4 separate regions of the Mus musculus genome follow, and regions 2, 3 and 4 are each reported to be linked to region 1. The links are microRNA targets in miRTarBase. Many come from high-throughput screens and were not tested one by one. Region 1 holds a microRNA gene; each other region holds the end of a gene's coding sequence.

Region 1 (5,002 bases):
TTTGTACAATGCTTAAGACTTATTACGAGTGTTATTTGCTATATATGTTGGATTATAACTTATATTTTACCAATAATTGTCTTTTTGTGATAATTGATACTGAAGATTTTCCATTTGAGCGTCTTTGAGATGAGAATACATAGTTCCGTGCAGCCCTTTCTTCTACCTAGAGTGTTTTGTGGTTAAATGTGCTTAGGCTTTAACCCAGGACCTTGCACATGCTGGGCAAGTCCTGCTCTTGTACACCTTAATCTTTTTTTTGTTTGTTTGGTTTTTGTTTTTTTTTGTTTTGTTTTGTTTTGTTTTGTTTTGTTTTGTTTTTCGAGACAGTGTTTCTCTGTATAGCCCTGGCTGTCCTGGAACTCACTCTGTAGACCAGGCTGGCCTTGAACTCAGAAATCCACCTGCCTCTGCCTCCCGAGTGCTGGGATTAAAGGCGTGCACCACCACCCCCGGCCTGTACACCTTAATCTTGAAAATCAACTTTAATCCTTAACCGCTTTGATGGTCCCCATTTTCTAGTAAAACTTTGTTTCTCCACTTGATATGTTCCCATTTAATGATCACCACAACAGCCTTCTGATGCATTCCAGTGAGGTTTTAAAGGCAATTATCTAACACCTAAGCACAATCATAAAAATTCTGTGCACCAGGAAGACTATAGTCTACCCTTGCATATCTAATATATATGTAGAAAACAAGCGCAGGAACTCTGGGTATGTGGGATAGAGCATTTTGGAGGATGTTCCTGTTGCCTGCTCATGGTAGAGCATGTCCCCAACATGTGTGTTACAAAGGGCTTAATCTCTAGCACAAAAAAAACAGGCAATATTATTCACTTCTACATTTTGTTTTTGGAATAGCTGACAATGAAAATTACAAACAGTATTTTATAAACATAATCTGTAAATGGGAAAATCACATCAAGGATACATTCCCTTTGTCTACCTTGAAATGATCCAAGGCCAGCCTTGTCTACAAAGCCAGTTCCTGAACAGCCAGGGCTACATCGAGCAACCCTGTCTCAACAGGGTAAACAAGGAATGAAAGAAAGATTGATAGTCTCTTACTATGTTAGGTAATGTAGCTTTTATGCAAACTTTAATCAGTGGTTCTGAAGGCTTAAGTTTTCAGTAACATATTGTTGGAGAAATTTGTATCCAGACATCCTTATTGGCCTTGAATTCGTTTAAAGGTATTTTCTGCTCCTTGTCTAAGGGACTGCCAGAAAATGGGTTATACTGCAAGGTTGTGTTTAGTTGAGTATGGATGAGAATTGGGCTCAAGACACTGGAGCTGCTGTTCATCTTCCTACTTGGCTCAGAGACATGACGATTTATACCAGATTGTCTGTCCATTTTAAACTTCTAACTATGAATATAGATACACCTTAAGGGTCTTCAATTTCAAGGTGCTTATTACCCTATAATCTTAAACCCCAGGCTAAGATTATTTATTGATAATGCTGCCAACAAATGTCTTTTAACTCATGAGTAACTTTTGTCGGGGCTACAAGGGGTTTTTTAAGAGTCTGTTTCCCTCTCAGATCACTTTTTCATGTTGATCTAAATGTTTGTCCACAGTTCAAATCATTTATTATTATTATTATTCAGTTCTCTCAGTAGTCAGGATATTGAATTAGTCCCAAAGATGAGAGATATTCAGGTATATAGATTAAACCTTACAGGCTGACTAGTTACTCGCTAAGAGGTTTGGGGTAGGATATATGGAGGAGAGTTTTACAGGGAAGGAATTTTTTGTCATGGATAGCTGCCATCCTCTCATTCCTTAGATATACATTTAGTTTCTTCTCCATAGAAGAGCCGTATCTAGGAACTGCCAATCCTCAGTAAGACACGGAGATAGCAGCGGTGCCCCATCATTCTCATCTGAATAGTCTCTTGTCACTGGCAGGCTTTCTCCTGAACTTTATTTTTCTTTTGAAGTGTTTAGAGACTTGAAATGTTCATTGCTTTACTTTGAAGCATCAGATATGTGTAATATCCACTCTAGGGTTTCTGATCTCAAAGCATTATAAAGCAAGGCATGTTGGCACATGCCTAGAATCCCAGCATTTCGGGTCCTTATACAGGAAGACCATCTTGACTTTGAGTCCAGTCTGGGTTTCATAACAAGTCCCTGACTGAAACAAACAACAAAATCTATGAACATGTTTTCTACTCAGACCTATCGTATTGATCTTTACTATTCAAATAATGCATTTATAATGAGGACAATTTTACTTAAGTAAATGGTTCAGATTTGGGAAAGGAAGCTCTGAAGTGTGCATGCAAACAGTGACTCTAGGGTTTGGGCATAGGCATTAGCTGGCCTGTTTGTTAATTGCGTCCACTCAATGCTATCTTAGTTATTGTTGCTGTTAATGATGGAGCGGGCAATGCAAGAATTAAAAGAAGAAAGTTAATTATTATTATACCTTTTGAATGGTCAATGGTGTTGTGGGGAGGGATCATGGACGTTTTTAATGATTCACTAATGTGAAGTTAGCCCATGTAGGAAACTCGATGATTCTTCCATTCATGCTCTTGATTAGTAATCTATTGCCTTTCTTCTTTGTTCTAAGTTAAAAGCTTTTGAAAACTTGTGTTATAGCTGAATAAAGGTTTTTGTATAAACACAGAAAAGGATGTTTGGGGAATGGTCACAGTTGACCTGAAGCCGAATTCTAACTGATAACTAGCTATGTTAGTTCTTGTGACTGTCATCCCTGGAGAGCAAGAAACAACAGCTGGCCTTGGTGATCAGGAGAACTTCATGGATCGCGCAGCAACCTGGAGTGGTGTTCCTCTGAAGAAATCCTACTCGGGTGGATATAATACAACCTGCTAAGTGTTCTAGCACTTAGCAGGTTGTATTATCATTGTCCGAGGTTATGGCTCTCGTCTATCAAACTAATCCGTAAGGGCAAGGATGGTGACTTTGTACTCACAGTGCCTAATCCGGTGCACATTGTAGGCCTCATTAAATGTTTGTTGAATGAAAAAATGAATCATCAACAGACATTAATTGGGCGCCTGCTCTGTGATCTCCATGGGCTCAGCTTGTTCCTGCCAGTGGCCTTCAACGTTCAAGCTCTCCGCAGCGTCCTTATTTCTGCAGCTCATTCCTGTGTTCTGTGTAGTATAATCATAGTGGATATATTTTACCTTTCAAACCAATTCCAATTGATTGATAATTGTGCCTCGACTGTGTTTTATAAAAAGGATTCCATATCTGGTTCTTTTCTATCCTGAGGGTGTGGAAGGAAGGGATAATAGCTCATGTACCATAAATGTGATATTTTCTATGAAATACTGTATTTATGCCTGTGTTTTGGAAATGCCTGCTTGTCATTGTTGCATCTCTGTTGTTGTTACTATAATCGCTACCGATTACTCCCTAGGTTGGACTACAGTGATCACTGAGTAGGAGCTTCGTCTTTAAAATCTGGGGTGTGCTGTTATGGTTGGTATTCATTTTCCTTTACCCGCTTTCCCCATACCTCCATTTATAATTTTATTGCTGCTCATAGCTCCAGAAGGATATAGTAACAGAGCAGGCATGGCCTCAGTGTGGTAAGCTAAGTGAGAACAGGAAGTGGAACCAGGGTAGAAAACCCCAGTCTTGCCCCTAGTGACACACCTCAAGCAAGGTTCTCCTTCTGAAAGGTCCCATTACATTCCCAAATGTAGCCACCACCTGGGATATGAGTGTTCAAATACATGAGGTAGGGCCACGGTGTTCCTTCAAAGCACCACAGAGGGCAGAATGTACACCCTGCTAGAATAGCTTTCTATGAAAGGATCCATCTCTTCACTGGAGCAGGCAGACATATGAAGAAGACAACTTGGAGTGGTCGTGAAAGGATTTGAGGTTTGGCATGGACTCTAAGAAGCACGAGATTTGTGGTTTTCCTTCTTTGTTTCTTGCTAGGTAGTCCTGGCTGTCTAGTAACTACCTACAAAGATCAAGGAGACCCCAATCTTGTAGCAATCCTGCTGCTGCCTCACAATTGTTAGGATTATAGACATGGGCACATGTTCATTAGAAAGTTGCACTGTTCTCTAATTCATCTTTTAAGATAAACTATAGAGGGATGAAGATTAGCATGTTACACCACCACAGATAGAAACCATTCTAGTATCACGAAACATCCAACTCATGTAGAATTTCCATTCGCTGTTTGGGATGATAGAGAGATGGAATTGAGTTTTTAGAAGGTAAACCACACAAGAGAGTCTAGGGAACTGACAGAGCCTGGCTGGACTGCACAGTTCGTCCTCAAACGACTTTTTACTGACCCAGCTCCTGAGGAAAGGACCCTGGTGTCTGAACTTCAACGCTGATTTAATAATCATTGTTTTCATGACTGGTCCTTTAGAAATCTGGCCTGCTTTATATTTGCCCCTGGGGCTTAGACAAGGGAGAAAAATGGAAAATACTGTCCGAGGTAACCACAGCCACACAGAACCTCATACACCAAGTGGTTAGCCTTATCATAGAGCACAGGTGCCTGTTCTCAGTCACATGCTAGCCCTGTCTTAGGATTTTGTTTACATTAACCATTCTATTTCACAGTATTAATGTCCTTATACACAAGATACACAGAAATCTTTGTTGTGTTAGACATCAACAATGAAAAATCCCTCAGGCCCAAATATCAGAAGATAGCACGAAAATACCAAGTCAGAACGAAGAGGGTGGCCAGTGGATTTGAAGGTAGATGCAGACTTTATCATGGTTACTCCTACAATACAGAACATTCTTGTTTATTAGTCTGATACCAGCCATCTGATGTCATGTTGGCAACTAGAGAAGCTTTATATAAGAACAGGAGCTCTGTAAGAAAATATTGTAGGAATTAGGCTTTATAAGACAATCGTGGCCCTTGGCAGTCTTGGTTAAGTCTCTTAGGATGGTTAGGGTAGAACTTAGGTGTGAAAAGTCTTGACTTTCAATTATTCTACATTGAATTCCCAGAACACCTGAGTCAAGCTTTATT
Region 2 (5,002 bases), not on the chromosome of region 1:
CAATATTTTTTTTTTCCTTTTTGTGAAAAATTGGAGAGAGAGAACGAGGTCAGGGAAGACTTTGCTGGAGCTCTTTGCCTGTCATTTGTTTAATGTAAACAAAGAGCAAGCCCTTCCCCACCCCCAGCCTGGGCTCCCCTCCCCTCTTCCCTCCGGATTTTTATAAACAAACGGGTGTCGGGGTGGGGGGGGGGGGTCGCTGGGGTGGCGGCAGGATAGGTGGTTACAGTGGAGGCGAGAGGAGCCGAGCATTTGGAGAGATTTTGGGTAGTTGAAAATAGTGAGGCGCCAGAGACGAGCCAAGTTGAGGCTGAGGTTAAAAATCCCGGCTTGGGTCAGGTCTGTTGAAATGTAAAAACGGCTTCTTTCGTCTGTGCCGGATTAATTGCTTTTGAGGAAATTGTGACAAGCGAATCAGAAGAAAGAAAACCTGCTCTGTGGACAGTTCCCGCGATTCAGAGACTTTTATTGGAGCCTTTCCACTGCCTCGAATTTAACGCAGTCTAGGTCAGGATAAAATTGATATAAAAATGTAAAATCTTTATAACACATGTTTATGGGCTGATTCGGGTGATTGAGTAAATTGCTGTTTGAAGATCTGGGCTAATTTCCAACCTAGGGTCATTCCAAGTATTAGTCACAAAGCAATTACGTGTCATCAGATTTCAGGTAAACATACAAAAGCATTCTTCAAACAATGTTGGTGGCCCCAAGATTTCAACATGAAATCGGATGAATAAGTCTGCATGCTATTGAAGCATTATAACTACTTTAAACGTAATTCTTGGGCAGCTTGTTAATTTAAGGAAATAGTATATCTCCTTTAAAAACCTTCACTGTTTGGCCTTCTGCTTTTCCGTAAGTATCATTAAACATTGTTTTATACGGAGAAAGCTTAGTTCCTGCAGCCTTACTCTAATTCTGGAGAGGGTGGGTGTTTCCATCTGTTTCAGACATTTGAAACTGGCAAGTATGTTAGGATTTTTAGAATCTCAAATTCTTGTCCATCATTTTACTAATTAGTTCATTCTGTCTTTTCTGTTTGACCTGGGATCACAAAGATAAGAGATAAATTTTGCCAATAAATGTCTCCATTTTCTGGCTCTGGATCATTCATAGCTGAAATGAGTTTCGGATGGAGCTGGATTATAAGATTGAGAGCCATGAATTTTCCACTGAAGTGCAATCCTGCTAGGCTGATTCTAGCCTATTGTGAGGCGGGAGAACCTCGGGTGCAATTATGGTGTTGCTTTCTGAAACACTCTGTGTTTAAAAACAACAAAACAAAACCTCACTGTGTAGCCAAGGTTGGTCTGAAACTCACCTTGTAGACCAGGCTGACCCCAAACCTCCAGAGGTCTGCTAGTTAGAGTCACCACCACCAACCAAGGCACAAAATTAAGGAGATACTCAGTTTCAGGTCGCTAGGACATGTCACTCACATGACCAGGAAAGTGAACAATTTCTTAATATTTGCATTCTTGATGCCTTTTATTTTCCCCCTCTGGAGGCCCAAACTGCTCCTTGTCACCCAAAGAATCGACAGGGACTTTAGAAATCAAAAGATATAGCTTTACCATGGAAGGCTTTCTTGAGCCACTGAAGAGTATTTGTTTGACTTGGGAATTACCTGTTTGACCACAAAAGCTTCCTAAACCTGTCCATCTTTTGCTATGAGAGTTTCAATTTGCAACAATTTTCTAGCTATGGAACAAGTGGACTCAGTGATGACAATTTTAAAGCCCACAGTAGCCAACTCTGCTTAAGTGACATACAAACAAATATGTATACATGCATATATACATTCAAACACACACTCATACATACATACATACAAATGTACATATATACATACATGCATGCATACATACATACATACATACATACATACACGTAATACATCAGCCCTTTCTCACGTCCTGGGCTTCCAATAGCCACTTGACCACCTATTTTCTTTCATAACTCCAGTTTTCATTTGTTTGGTACTTTAACATTTTTTGCCTTCAGAAATTTTTAGCAGGTGAGAGGTGAATTAAAAGAACTCTAACTGGCTGAGATTTAAAGATCAATATTAAAATTTGTAATGTGCAATCCATTTCACTAGGCAAAGCAAAATCTTAGATAATATGGATATTATTTACGTTCTTAGTGCAAAAGTGGTAGAGTGTGTACGTGTGTGTATGTGTGCATGTGGTATATGTGTGTGTATGTACAAAGAACAATTACATGCTAAGAATATTTTATATTTTAATGAAGGCTAGTCCCAAGGCAACGAACTTCCTGATGAATTGTTTGCATGTTAAATGTAGAGCACTGATTTAGAAAATGCCTGTCATTTCTCTGTAGCATGCTTTCTGGTCAATATAAAGCCTGCATACTGTCTCCTATCTTAGTATTTCTCCTGGTGAAAATAATTTAGTTGACTAAAACCCATTTCTGAAGCAGGAAGATGCTAGCCTGGTTAGTATCAACCTCTCCTATCTTTTTAAATGGTCTTAATAAGACCTACAGCACTTAGTAAGTATTCTACCTGTGCTACATGCTTACCTTGAATGACCATAAGTTTCTGAGTGGGAGAGTACCTCAAACAAAATGGAAACACTTTTTAATCATAAAGCCCTCGTGTCTTGGCATTTTTGTAAAATACGATTCATTACCTGAGTCTAAAATTTGTCTTCTAAAATTGTTCTTGAAAATCACTAACACTTCATAAAAATGATTAGGTGGACAAACCATGATCACCTGTGTGGCGAATGTAGAGCGCTGCCATAGATGGCATGTTCATGTTCCAAATTCTGGGTTTAATATGGCAATGTGCATATGTTTATGTATACACATGCATACATTTTCATACAATCCGATGTGGCGGTTAGTTAGCGGTTTATCTGTGGCTGCTTAAAATATAAATATACTGAGATGTCAGAGGATATAGAGAAGTTGGAGAGACAATTTGAATAAGACTCCATGCTGCGTGCCCAGCAAAGGAAATAAGAGTGATTTTTAAAATCTGAGATAGCAGCTCTCTTAATTAAGAAAGGTTATCCACCAAGTTGTTTTATTATTTGGCTTCTTCACACAGAACGCGTGAGCTTGCTCATTCAAAACAGCAAGTTCCCCAAGCTACAGAGAAACCTATCATGGAAGTCTTTTAAATAAGTAAATAAACAGCATATATATGTTTTGTTTTGTTTTTTAAAAAAGAAACCTTCAAAGCAAAAGTTATACATATATATAACAGCGTCCTTTCGAAGTGAAATACCCGCAGGAGACTCAAGGGCAGGCTCTCAGAGTGCAGTTCTGTTCCAAAGGAGTCTTTGCAGCCAGATCCTTCAGGAAAAGCAATGCGAAGAGAAGTAGCATTGGGTCAGGCCTCACCGCATGCCCCAGAGTCGCGATGGATTCTCGCTTCTAGAGCCTTTAGGCCCGCGGGTCCCTGGCCACGGGGCTTCTGCCAGCGCCGTATTTGCTGGTCTTGTCCTCTCTCTTTCTCTCTCTTTTTTTATTTTGTGTATCTCATTTTTACACTGGATTCTAAGTGTGATGAGTGGGCAGCTCAGATGTCGCACTCACTGTCGCTGGATGTGATGGAGATGGCCGAAGTGGCCGCCTTGCTCGACAGACTGGCAGCCGGGCTGGAGGCGACGCCCAACACCTCAGGCGTTCCCTCACCCTCCGAGCGTAGCACCCGCCCGGGGCCCTGCGACAGAACCTGCTGCTGGAGTCTGGAGGGTTGGGGAGAAAGGGACACTGGTCACAGCAAGAAATCAAGCCGCCACATTGTACCCCTTTTCTCCGACCCGTCTACCTCCAGCTCCTTGTTAAGACTCTTATTCAGACCTTGACAAGCTGGGGAAGGTGAAGTGACCGGGTTTGGACCGATGCACCACAGCTCTTTCGCGGAATCCTGCCGTTGCCCCTCTCTGTCTGTCTGTATGTCTGTCTCCTTGTTTCTCAGCTCACTATGAATTCCGCCTTAGCCTCCCCAGATCTTTCTCATTTGTCACCCAAATGTTGGGAGATTTACTGGAGGATTGTCAGAAATCCTCCAGCGCAAAGCGGGACAGATAAGGCTTCAGGATACGAGATTCCTTTTCTAATACTACATCTCCCTATGGGTCATGCCTGAGGCTAGAGGATGCTTGAAGAGTTTGGGCCTGAGTTGCAAGCTCCAAAAGCTGGCGAATGAAAAGCATAGGCCGACTAGCTTGCTGGGTGGAGACAGGATAGTTGTCATGAGGAAACACGTCTTTCTGCCTCTTAGAATCTGAGACTCTCTGAAAACTGAAACCTTTTTCAGAGCATCAGGGAAGGATGCAGCCGGGATTTAAAAATAGAGCTAACTAAATAGGCTTCACTTGATGAGAGCCTGGGTCCATGCTAGTAAAAATTAGCTTTGGGCCTCTGGATTTCTGATTGATCCTGGGCTTTTAATCTTTCTCCCTCCCTCCGCCCCCGTTTCCCTAACTACAGCGACATTTTAGTTTGGTGACCCACATCAGCTGCTGCAGTGACCCCCAAAACCCCAAGAACCAGGGGGGGGGGACGGTGGGGAACCAGGAGCCTGCATAGGAATCTAGAACACAGTGGGCTCATAAACCCAAGACAGACTGCATTCCCAGCTCCCTTTGAATTTGGGTCCCTGGACACCAGGTAAGGGCCAAGAATGCCTCCTCCCGCCCCATCCCGGTGTGCACCAAGCCTAGAGGCCTGCTGGTACTGACCTGTTTTTGGCTGCAGCTGCCCGGTCTCTTTGTCTGCGGTTTTTGAACCAGTTGCCCACCTGTGTGGGGGTCAGTCCGGTTGCCTGGGCGAGCTCTCGCTTTTTGCTGGGGTTGGGATATGGGTCCTGAAGGTACCACTCTCGAAGCAGGTGCCGCGTGCGCTCCTTGAAGCAGTGAGTCTTCTGTTCGCCATCCCAAATGGTCCGCGGCAGCGGGAACTTCTTCCTTACTCGGTACTTGTCTACTGGCCCTAGGGGCCGTCCACGCAGCTTCTCTGCCTC
Region 3 (5,002 bases), not on the chromosome of region 1:
CTGTAGCTCTACTGGGGTACCCACAACATGAGGTACTCTAGCCTATAGGGCCAACCCAACTCTCTCCAACAATACATCCGCATCAAGGATGCCACTAGACAGAGTGACCACGGGCTCTAGACCAGGCTTCAGGCCAGAGGTGCCCTCATCATCTCTACCCAGGAAGGGCCCCAGGATCCTTGCTGGAGAGGGCTTTGTGCTCCGTGGGGATCCTGGGCCAAAGGAGAGGGACACTTTTCATCTGGCATTTGTAAGATCCCAGCAGAGGAGTCAGCAAAACACGGGAGTTGTGAGGAGTCACATAGATGTGGAAGTCAAGGCCCTCCCCAGGCCTGCAGTTCCTTCATCTTTACTAGGTGGGAGCTAGACCGGCTCACTCTCGGTCTCTCACGCAGTGCTGAGTGATCCCAGCAAGCTCCTGGCTGTGAGCATCCATGGAAGGGAAAAAGGGAGAGGAGAGCAGAGTATGGGGTCTTACCTGTGCGTCTAGCCAAGGTTGGGTAGTGCAGGGCCACCCTAAGGCTCCACTCCATTAGGTAGCAGCAGGATCTGACGGCCGGGCCTCACCATTCACTGTTGTCTCTGCTGTCCCTGGCTCGGCACTGGCCCTGTGCACCAGCTGACCTGAAACCTAATTCTGAGAAGCTAGTTGACAGTCTGATCACTTGACAAGAGGCAGGCTGCGGGGAGGGGACCAGTGAGTTCCAGATCTGGTTTAGCTTCCGTGACCTGGGGCTCTTTAATGTGGCTCCTTTGAGCTTTCAAGAGGAGAGCTACCTTGGTGGCCAGGAGGTGTGTGACAGCATTTGTCACCTTTGAGAGCCCAAAGGACAAGGTCTCTTAGGACAGGGGCTCTCCAGGATCCTATACAATGGTTACAGGTGTCACTTCTTAGAGGCCTGACATTCTCAAGAGGGGAGAGGAGAAGACGGGGCAGAGAAGGTAGAGGACATCTTGGTGCCAAGATATGCTTGATATTTCAGGCACAGCGCTTCTATTTCCCACATCTCTAGGAAGCAGGATCCTAAATTTAAAAACAAAGGACAACAGATGTATTGTACACAGCATGTGATTTGCCCACATAGAGCACACAATAGTGTTTAGTACAGTCTGGTTGATCAACTACTACATGCTAGTTCAGAACACTTTCATCATGGCTCAAAGACAAAAACAGAACAAGTCACCCCCTTTCCCTTCCCCCAGCTTCAGGCAACCACTCGTCTTTATTCTGCTTCTTAATTTGCTTGTTCTAGATGCTTTGTTTGAGTAGGATTATATAGAATGTATAGCCTCTTGTGGCTGGTTTCTTTCACAGTGGTGTTAACACACTGCACTGTACCGGTAGACACTGACGTACTGTGTAGAGCCCTCATGTGTCAATGCTTACTTTACACAGAAAACTGACTGTCAAGGACAGACAGCTAGGTCACTGCAGGCCTGACTTGCCTGTAACCTATACCACACTTTGGGTCTATCAGCTGCAATCCTGATTCCTCATGACATGGACATGCTGGGACCGGAGATGGGGCAGGGTGAGCAGAATCCCTTGCAGCAACCACCGTAGGCTGGTCCATCTGCAGGCGCTGAGGTTAAAGACTGGGTGGGCACAGCTGAAGTTGGGAGCCAGGTGGCATAGAAGGGAAACTAAAAGGAGAGGGGAGAGGAGATAAGTAGGACAGAGAAGGTAGAGGACATTTTGGAACTTGAGCGCAGCGCCATGGCAGGGTGGGTGCTGTGACATCTAGACTGTCTATCCTGTTTCTTGGACCAGGACCTGCTCACTGCTTTGAGCTCAGTCTGGAACTATTAATCTGGACATGGGCAGGACTGTGGGAACCATGTGGGGGCTGGGGCTACAAGTAGAAGTCAAACTAGAGGCAGCAGGTTCTGGAGAAACCCAGAGGGAGGAGAGCTCAGGCCTAGCTAGAGTCAAACCTCTGCTGGGAGTTTTAAGGTTGGCTGCTACAGTCTCTGGGTCACCAGAAATACTTTCCAGGCATCTGTGGAGGGCATGCATAAGGAAGTCAGGGTTCATTCTGGTTGTGGTGACAAATGTGTTGTACAACTTGGCAAGTCAAGTTGCCTCAGAGCTATCACTGGGAGAGACTGGTAAATAACAAATTGGGCATGTCGTCTGTGTCTCAGACCTTCACCTTGTCTGCAGCCCGTGCCCTCCTGTGGCCCTGTTCTCACTTGACTCCTTCAGGTTATTTACAGGATCAGGATTTGGCAGTGATCTTCTTCACCCTAGGCTTTACCCCTTAGGCTTGGAACCTAGAGGTTTCTTACCCCGAGGGACGTGGAACTCCAGGTACTGGAAGCTCTGTTCTGGCCGAGGGCAAGGCCTGGGGCAAGGGGAGCCCCTGGCTAGGGACTGGGCAGGTTTGCAAGGTGACACTCAAGGAGCAGAGATCTGAGGGGCAGGTTTGGCTGAAGGTTCATGGCCCTTATGGGAGGCTGGAGTGCTCTGCGTTCTGGGTAGCCAGTGAGCTTGCCTCTAATTCACCCCGGTGCTTAGGAAGAGTGGGAAGGGCTGACATTTCTCAAGCTTCCATTATGTGCCAAATGCCAGCGAAGCATTTTCAGAAATGTCCCATTTGATCTTCACAGCGACCATACGAAGCCAGAGTCTACGTGTCTGTGCCTTCCAGATGAGGCCAGAGCCACAGTCTCAGCCAGGCTGGACACTGATATGGTCCAGAACATTCTCTGGTTCTCTTTGCAGCTGTCCATGACCTGGTCTATACCATTCTCTGGGCTTTACCCCAGTACGGGTTTCTTCCAGAAATCCCTCCCTGGATTTAGCAGCCTGAGACCGCCCGAATTCAGGGCGTTTACTGCCTGTATCCTGCTTTGGTCTGAGTCCTTATCTCTGGGGTATGTCTTCGGTCCTGATGCACTTTGTACCGATACAGAAGCAATGCATCCGACTTCCATGGTGTTGAGTGTAATTGTGGGAGGGGCATCATAGAGTTGTGAGGATTTAGAGAAATGACACACAGGGTGACAAGCAGGGCCCTCAGGTAGCTCCTTTCAGCCTCACTACCAGCTGGCACTGGACATCTATGTCCCTTCAGAGTTATCCTCAGAGGGCTTTGTCTATGGTAGCTGCCCAAGTGGCTGTGCTCTGACAGAAGTGCCCTCCTGAGTCACACCGGGGACCAGATCCTAGTTGGACTTTCACTGTGCTGAGCAAGATTTAAAGGGCCATCAGAGGAAAAGACAAACCAAGCAAGCAAGCAAAAGCCCAAACCACCAGAAGTGGAACACTAGCATCCCTCTAACATGGGTCAATCTGACACTTGGAAGAACTAGCAAGTCTCATGGCGACTCATGTTGCAGGTGGTGGAGTGATGGCTGTATCCTTCTTTCTGCAACACCTTTTCCCAGTGACCAACCCAAAAAACACTTGTACACAAATACAAATGCCAGACTTTTATTAAAAACAAAGGCAAGAGCAATGAATTTCAGAGCTGAGTAGAAACAAACATTATGTTAAAAACATGGTTAAATTTCAGACAACCGAATACAGTTTTAAAGGAGGCAATTCCCCTGTTCTATTGATTAATACATCATAAAAATAATTTATATCTATAAAATACCTCATTCCCAAACAAACAAGCTGGACAGGGCTCTGGAATTTTCTCAGCTATGTACATACTTATTCCATGTTTCTTCCAATATTTATGGCAAAAATAGCCTGTCCTATTTAAGCAGAAGGTGGGCTCTGGTCAGCAGTAGGCTGTGTCAAGGACACTGGTTTCTCTGCTCAGAGAGGCCTCCTTAGGCCCCACAGTCAGAAGATGGGTGGGACACTTGGGTGCTTGAGTCTCACTTCCAGCAGTCACCTCATTACAGAAGGAAGCTGAGGTCCTGGTAGGCAGCTGCTAGGTGGTTTGGGACACTCCTCTGGTCTTAGCTGATTAGGTCTCAAGATACCCATGGAATAGGGTGATGCTAGTGGCCTGAGGATGCTGAGGGAAACAGGCCTGTTGTCTCTTGCAAGCTTTACAGAGCTGAGAGGCTGGCTGGTAGCCACGTCCCTCAGGTTTCCTCAGTCTTTTTGGAATACTGGGAAGAAAATATCCGTGCAATCCTGCGAGTCTCTTCCTCAGGAAGGTTGGGAGGGATGGAGTAAGGTCTGGGGCGACAAGGCCTCTGGGCAAGGGCTCCCCTGGTGGCTTCACTCTTGTCCTGGAGAGAAGGAAGTCATCTAGATTAGTCCTGAGGATACAGCATTGCAGAGGTGAGTCTGGTCCTTGGGCTAACATTTTCTCTAGGTCCCTGGTTTGCAAATACCTCATACACCCTGTCTTGTGGAACCCTGGCCATGACATCACAAGGTCAGGTGCACTTAGTTAGTTCAAGGTCGTGCAGCTCTGAGTGGCAGAGCTGAGGCAGGTGGAAATCCCACTTGAGCAGCTACCATAGACAAAGCCGTGTGCTCAGCCACTTTCCCCTTTTTGGTATCTTGTCAGGTTCCTGTGCTGAAGGGCTCAGATCTACATAGCAAAGTTGCCTGGTGGGCTGAGAATGAGGCCCCTAGGAAAGAGATGGAGGCCAGGCAGGAAGAGCCAGTGCAGAAAGAAACGGAGGCTGTCCCCACAGGCCGGTAGATCTTTCTTGTTCCCATGCTGACGGACCCTACTACACTGCTCCACCTCTCCAGCTTGTACCCCGTGAGCCTGCTAACAAGAAAGGTCAGGCCTGGCTAGAGAGGCTCAGGATGAGCACACTTAGAAATCCCATTATTCCTTTCTATAGAACAATACACGTCAACAGGAGGCAGAAATGACAGCAGATCCTGGCTTCACAGCTCAGAGTAAAACAGGCAAGACACAGTGACCTACCAAAAGAATGGGGTAAGGGGAATGAGCTTGTGTCCTCTCTGCTGCTTGGGTGCTAGTTTCCTAACCATGGCCAAGGGGGCTGGGCAAATAGTCAGGACTATCCCTGTCAGTCCAGATCTCTAAGCACTGAGGGGGAGGTGGGCAAGCCGAGC
Region 4 (5,002 bases), not on the chromosome of region 1:
CTTAGTTTTAAATAATAGTAGCCATGAAATTAAATGATGGCTTCAATTTGTTCCAGCAAATTCTCCATGCTGGACCATGTCCAGAGAAGGCCAAAGAAGAAGAGCTTTGCAGTCAGTGATTGGCGGCTCCTGTAGTGTGTGTTGACCCCTGGTTTTACCATAGCTATGGGCTGTTGGTTTTCTTGGAGGTAAGGGGCAGGTGTAGGGCTAGGGGAAACTAAATTTCACACAACTGAATGTTCTCACCAAGTCCCCAACTTTCTTTGTTTTATACATTCTTGAGAATTGCTACACATATTTTTGATTTCTAGAGTTCTAAACTGCTTTGGAACTCTTTTTATTTTATTTATTTATTTTTTGACAATTTCTCTTTGCTTTTATGGGGGAGAGAAAGTTTTTCCTTGCTTAGGAGGAAAATGACAGGTCTTTACTTGGTTGTTTGTGCTGAGACCACACTCTAAGATATATTTGAAAAGTACCTCAGCTGAAGCAGCCTCTGCTAGTTCACAGAAGAACACAAAGAAGCTACCCGCACAAAGCTGGATAAGTCAGTAAGAGAAGATTCCATGGGATCTAAGAACAGAAATCTGTGTTTTAGTGTCATCTTATTATCCCTACCTTATTTCTTGGCCTCTCTGTGCTCTTGACTTTAATTCAGGGTAAGTAGCCCTTGATCCCCTTCCCCTCTTCAGACACGGGCTTCCACATTGGCTACCCGACGCCTGCTTCTGGAGACTCCTCTGTTGAGTACCTGCCTTTGCAGTGGTTGCCCCAAAGCTGTAGTGAGACAGTGACATGGTTGCCTGAGACTGTGCTGTAAGCAGAACATGTGCGGATGAAGGTTTCCTTACTCCAGACTGGAGGAGATGGGTCAACCATAGTTCTTCATATATGGCGGATACTGTTTATATTGCAGACAGCAGTGACAGAAAAATTATGATCGATGCTTATTTTATTTCAGTGGAAGACACAATTCCATGAATCAGAAGACAACAAATGCCAAGAAAGGACCAGTTAAAAAGGTTCCAAGATCAAACCATCTTCCAAAACTCAACCCGTGACTCCAGAGCTGGGCAGACTTCTATTTTTTCCATCTTTTTCGTCATTCAGTGTCTTCAGTTTAGGAAGCTAATGTTCAATACATTCCTCAGGGGAGGAAATAGATGAGGGAGAGCGGCTTCTCTCACTCTTTCAAAAGTTGATTCTTCTGCCTGCATAAAAGTCATGGGTCTCCAGCAACCCTAAATATCCAGTACATGTGCTTATAGTTCTTACAATACCTTAGAAGGGACCCGAAGGTTGACATCCTTCTGGCACTCTCAGTAGAGTGTTTCTGATATTCTCTGATTGCACTTTTATGTTGTATTTGGTTTCTAAATTGACCATTAGTTAGAACTATATATTGTTTTATATATTATATATAATATCTCCACCTTTTTGTTATTTTAAATTGCATCATGCTCAGTTCAACTTTCTAAAATCAAGGTTTCAACATATTCCCAGATCACATGCATATGAAAGTTTCAGGAAAATATTATCAATAACTTCAGCCATGCACTGCATTGTTCTTGCCCCCATCCCCCCCCCCCCCGCCAGTAACCTTGAGGATTTAGGGTTATCCTATCACCTCATGTTTATTTCCTACATCTAGAAAAATGGCTGTGCTAAACTGTATAATTTATAAAATTTCTAGAAATTCAGTCACAGGGGTCTGCCACTGTGTATGTGGCATTAAAGTCATTTTGTGACATTTACTAATTCACAAAAATGGTCTAGTTTTTGGACCAAACTTTGCAGGAGTTTGGAATACTGGAGACTAGAAGGAAATAGAGGGAGAATAAGAAATTGTTTTTAGGACCTATGAACTTTATTGAATTTTATTCATGTTTAGGGTGTTTTGTGACTCGAATGTTTTTTCTAATTGTAGTAGAGATCAGGAAGATTCATATAACTTACCCATTTAAATGAGAGAAATTATTGGAATTTAAATTTCTTGTGCATGTTAAGCAAGTGGTGTTTTAACCTATATCTGATGAAAAAAGTCATTTGTTTCCTTTTATATGTAATGTGCCTTTTACACCTGAGGGGTTTATGTGTATGTATGTATGTGTGTATGTATGTATGTATGTATGTATGTATGTATTATGCATAATATGTACATGTATGTGTAGATAATAGAACCATAATGCTGCACTCATGAACTTGCAGTAGCTATGGTTGCCTGCACAAAACCTGCTCAAGATCAAGCTAGCCAACATTCCAGCTCCAGTGGCAGAGGGACACATGGGCCTCACCCCTAGCTGAGAAGCTGGTGACAGCAAGGTCTGCTAGGAGAGGGAGAGTCCGTCCTTTTAAGGGTGTGGTCCCTGGTAGGTTCAGAATGATCCAGTAGATGGCCCCACGGCTATGTATTTATGGACAGCACTAACTGGCTTCAATGGAATAGATGTGTGTGTGAATAAACATATATATGGATGTATATGTGTGTATGTATACACACGTATTTAAAGATATGCTGTTGGGAAGGGGTTATGGGATCTTGGAATTGGTGTGTGTATGAAATAAATACATTGTATACATGTGTGAAATTATCGAAGAATAAAATATTTTAATAAAATGGAATATTGACATGATAGGGCTTTAATGTACATATTTTCTCTTTCTTTATTTCTCTTCCAAGTTTGTTTCTAAAGACTGATTTTTCTCCTGGCTTTGGGTCTCCCATTCTGCTTCATATATCTATACAGTTTTTATTGGATGTTGAGTATCAATAATATCATATTGCAGATTGCAATATTCCTATGAGCATTTAAATTGCTTACAGTTCTATTTAACGCCTCAGACTTCCATTGGAGTGAGTAAACCTGCCAAGAGTGAGGTTGTTAAGATATAGCTAGCCTGAGGCCCCAGTGAAGTTACCGTGAATGACACAAAGGACACATAGCTCTGCTTGGCCCAGACCTGGATGCCTGGAGACCTGTAGGCACTCTGCTTCACCATTTTGCAATTTATGCCTTGGTGTCCTGTAGGGGCTCGTGGTATCCTGTGCAGACTTGGGGTTCTGTTTTTGGACAGGCCTTTGTGTTCACCATCAGCCTCTTCCACCAGCTTCTGTCTCCTCTAATGTGGGAAACGGACCTGTTACCATGGTACTTCCTTCTCTGAAGTCTGTGATGTGTATAGGGGAGGAGCTAAGGAGGCAACTGGACTTGCTGCCTTCTCAAGGATCCCCTCTTACACCTGCAAACAACTCTTTTATCTATTTTTATCTACCCTTCTATTTAGTCACAGTGAATGGCTAAATTTGGCTCTGCCACTCTTGCAAGGCCAGAACTGAAGAACACATTCACTTGATATTAAAACTATTTTTAAAGCAAAGAAAGAATATTAAAACACAAAGTATTAACAATCCATTTTGTTTCTTCAACCATTATATTTCTTTGAGTTGCACCTGGATAAAGGGGAGAGACAGGGCTTTGACTCTGTGCAAGTTCTGAAGAAAAACAAAAGTATTTGGTGATCAAACTAGTGGACTGTGGTCCAGATTGCTTTATGCTCAATGAACAGTCTCCTTTCTCGGAAGAATGCACCCGAGGCTCATGTTTCATGGACAGGAAGAACTTTGTTTACCAGTGCATAGGTCATAAACACTGAGCTGTTGTGTGTATTAGAAACACTGTCCAGGAGCACACCACAGGTACAGAATTGTATGAGATCCTATATCAAGCAGACATCCCCTTTTGTGCCTTCTCTCTGGTGGTCGTTGTATGTTTGTTTGTTTTTGTCTTTGTCTTGAGACTGTGTCATGTTATGTAGCTTAAAATTGGACACATCTAGGAAGAGGGAACCCCTGGTTGAACAGTCTCTATCAGATTATCTTGTTGGGAGTGTCTGCAGGGTACTTTCTGGATAGCCAGTTTGTAGATGTGGGCCTAGTCCACCATTGGTCATTGCCAAACCTAGGCAGTCCTGGGCTGTGTAAGGAATGTTGCTGAGCAAGCCAGAGAGCCACATCTCTTCATGGTCTCGACTTCAGGCTCTAGCCCCGGCTTCTCTCAATGGTAGCCTCTGACATGGGAATGTAAACTAAATAAACCCTCCCCTCTCCTAAATTTGTTAGTGTTCTATCATAGCAGAAGAAAAGTAAGCTAGAACTCCTAGCCAGAAACTTGCCATCCTCCTGCCTTAGCTTCTGAAGTGCTGGCACCAAAGACATGTACCACCATGCCAGACCAATAAGACATCTATGTCATTTCTAGGCCTGGCCTACAAAAGCACACAAGATCATCATTCTTGGTTGTGCCTCCTCCCCACCCTGATCTTCTTTGCTGGTTTTGGATATATTATAAGCACAACAACGGGTTTAATGTGCTTCTTTTCTATTTATATCCTCTGCTTCTGTGACTGATTTCCCCCCCCACATCCGCCCCTGATTTCTGATCTCATTTTCTGTCCACTATATCATTTTATGAATGTCATGCATTACATTGCTGTTGATAATTTTATTGGGCTTTATCCTTGCAAGCATTTAATGTCGATGCTGGGGATCAGGCTCAGGTCCTCAGGCAGGCAAGAACTTTCCGGACTGAGCCTTTTCTCCAGCCCCCTGCTACTATATAGATGGAATTATATTAGCCAAATAAATAAAATAAAACTGTATTACAGTGATTTAAAAAAGGGGTCTAAAGGTACCTTTTGACATCCACGTGTGTTTAGAGAATGAGCCATGGAAGTTCTGATTGCCTGAAGGATGGCTTAGCCCCCAGCACCTTCTTCAAATGTGAACTAGAAGATTGTGTGAAAAAAGAAATAAATACACCCTTTCCTCTCTGAGTTGCTTTTGGTGAATACTATGTATTACAGCAACAGAAAAGCAAACTAGAATACCTCGGGTTAACCTTAAACTGGTCATCCTCCTGCTTCAGTGTCTGAAGTGCTGGCACCACACATTCCAAAGAAGCAAGTCTCAAAGCCGCGGTGTGCAGTAGCCCCATATCGTGGA

What was found. Region 1 holds the annotated microRNA mmu-miR-374c-5p (AUAAUACAACCUGCUAAGUG, at 2,834-2,853, shown strand). A microRNA usually pairs through its seed, bases 2 to 8, with sites in the 3' UTR of a target mRNA and lowers its output. Matches are read on the target gene's strand: a 7mer-m8 pairs with bases 2 to 8, a 7mer-A1 pairs with bases 2 to 7 and ends in A, and an 8mer does both.
Region 2: miRTarBase lists Six6 as a target of mmu-miR-374c-5p. Seed matches in the 3' UTR shown: 7mer-m8 at 1,895-1,901.
Region 3: the mRNA of C2cd3 is a reported target of mmu-miR-374c-5p. Seed matches in the 3' UTR shown: 8mer at 3,565-3,572.
Region 4: the mRNA of Ccdc169 is a reported target of mmu-miR-374c-5p. Seed matches in the 3' UTR shown: 7mer-m8 at 2,139-2,145.

The regions. Positions count from the first base shown.
Region 1 is chrX:103,570,963-103,575,964 of GRCm38, reverse strand. Mir374b (microRNA 374b) reads left to right here and starts at 2,811; the gene lies at 2,811-2,905. All of the region lies in intron 9 of Ftx (Ftx transcript, Xist regulator (non-protein coding)), which reads left to right. It overlaps Mir421 (microRNA 421), which reads left to right and starts at 2,969; the gene lies at 2,969-3,044. Mir374c (microRNA 374c) reads right to left here and starts at 2,880; the gene lies at 2,832-2,880.
Region 2 is chr12:72,940,347-72,945,348 of GRCm38, reverse strand. It overlaps Six6 (sine oculis-related homeobox 6), which reads right to left. Exons shown (of 2, transcript NM_011384.5): 1 at 4,722-5,002; 2 at 450-3,722. The coding sequence ends at 3,554. Among named protein-coding and RNA genes, the nearest start is that of Six6, 3.0 kb to the right of the region's middle.
Region 3 is chr7:100,468,571-100,473,572 of GRCm38, reverse strand. It overlaps C2cd3 (C2 calcium-dependent domain containing 3), which reads right to left. Exons shown (of 33, transcript NM_001017985.3): 33 at 3,414-4,194. The coding sequence ends at 4,045. It overlaps Gm10603 (a long non-coding RNA gene), which reads left to right and starts at 4,193. Exons shown (of 2, transcript XR_001778233.2): 1 at 4,193-5,002. Ucp3 (uncoupling protein 3 (mitochondrial, proton carrier)) reads right to left here and starts at 582. Exons shown (of 7, transcript NM_009464.3): 1 at 479-582.
Region 4 is chr3:55,170,304-55,175,305 of GRCm38, forward strand. Ccdc169 (coiled-coil domain containing 169) reads left to right here. Exons shown (of 8, transcript NM_177203.3): 8 at 962-2,633. The coding sequence ends at 1,061. Among named protein-coding and RNA genes, the nearest start is that of Sohlh2, 9.2 kb to the right of the region's middle.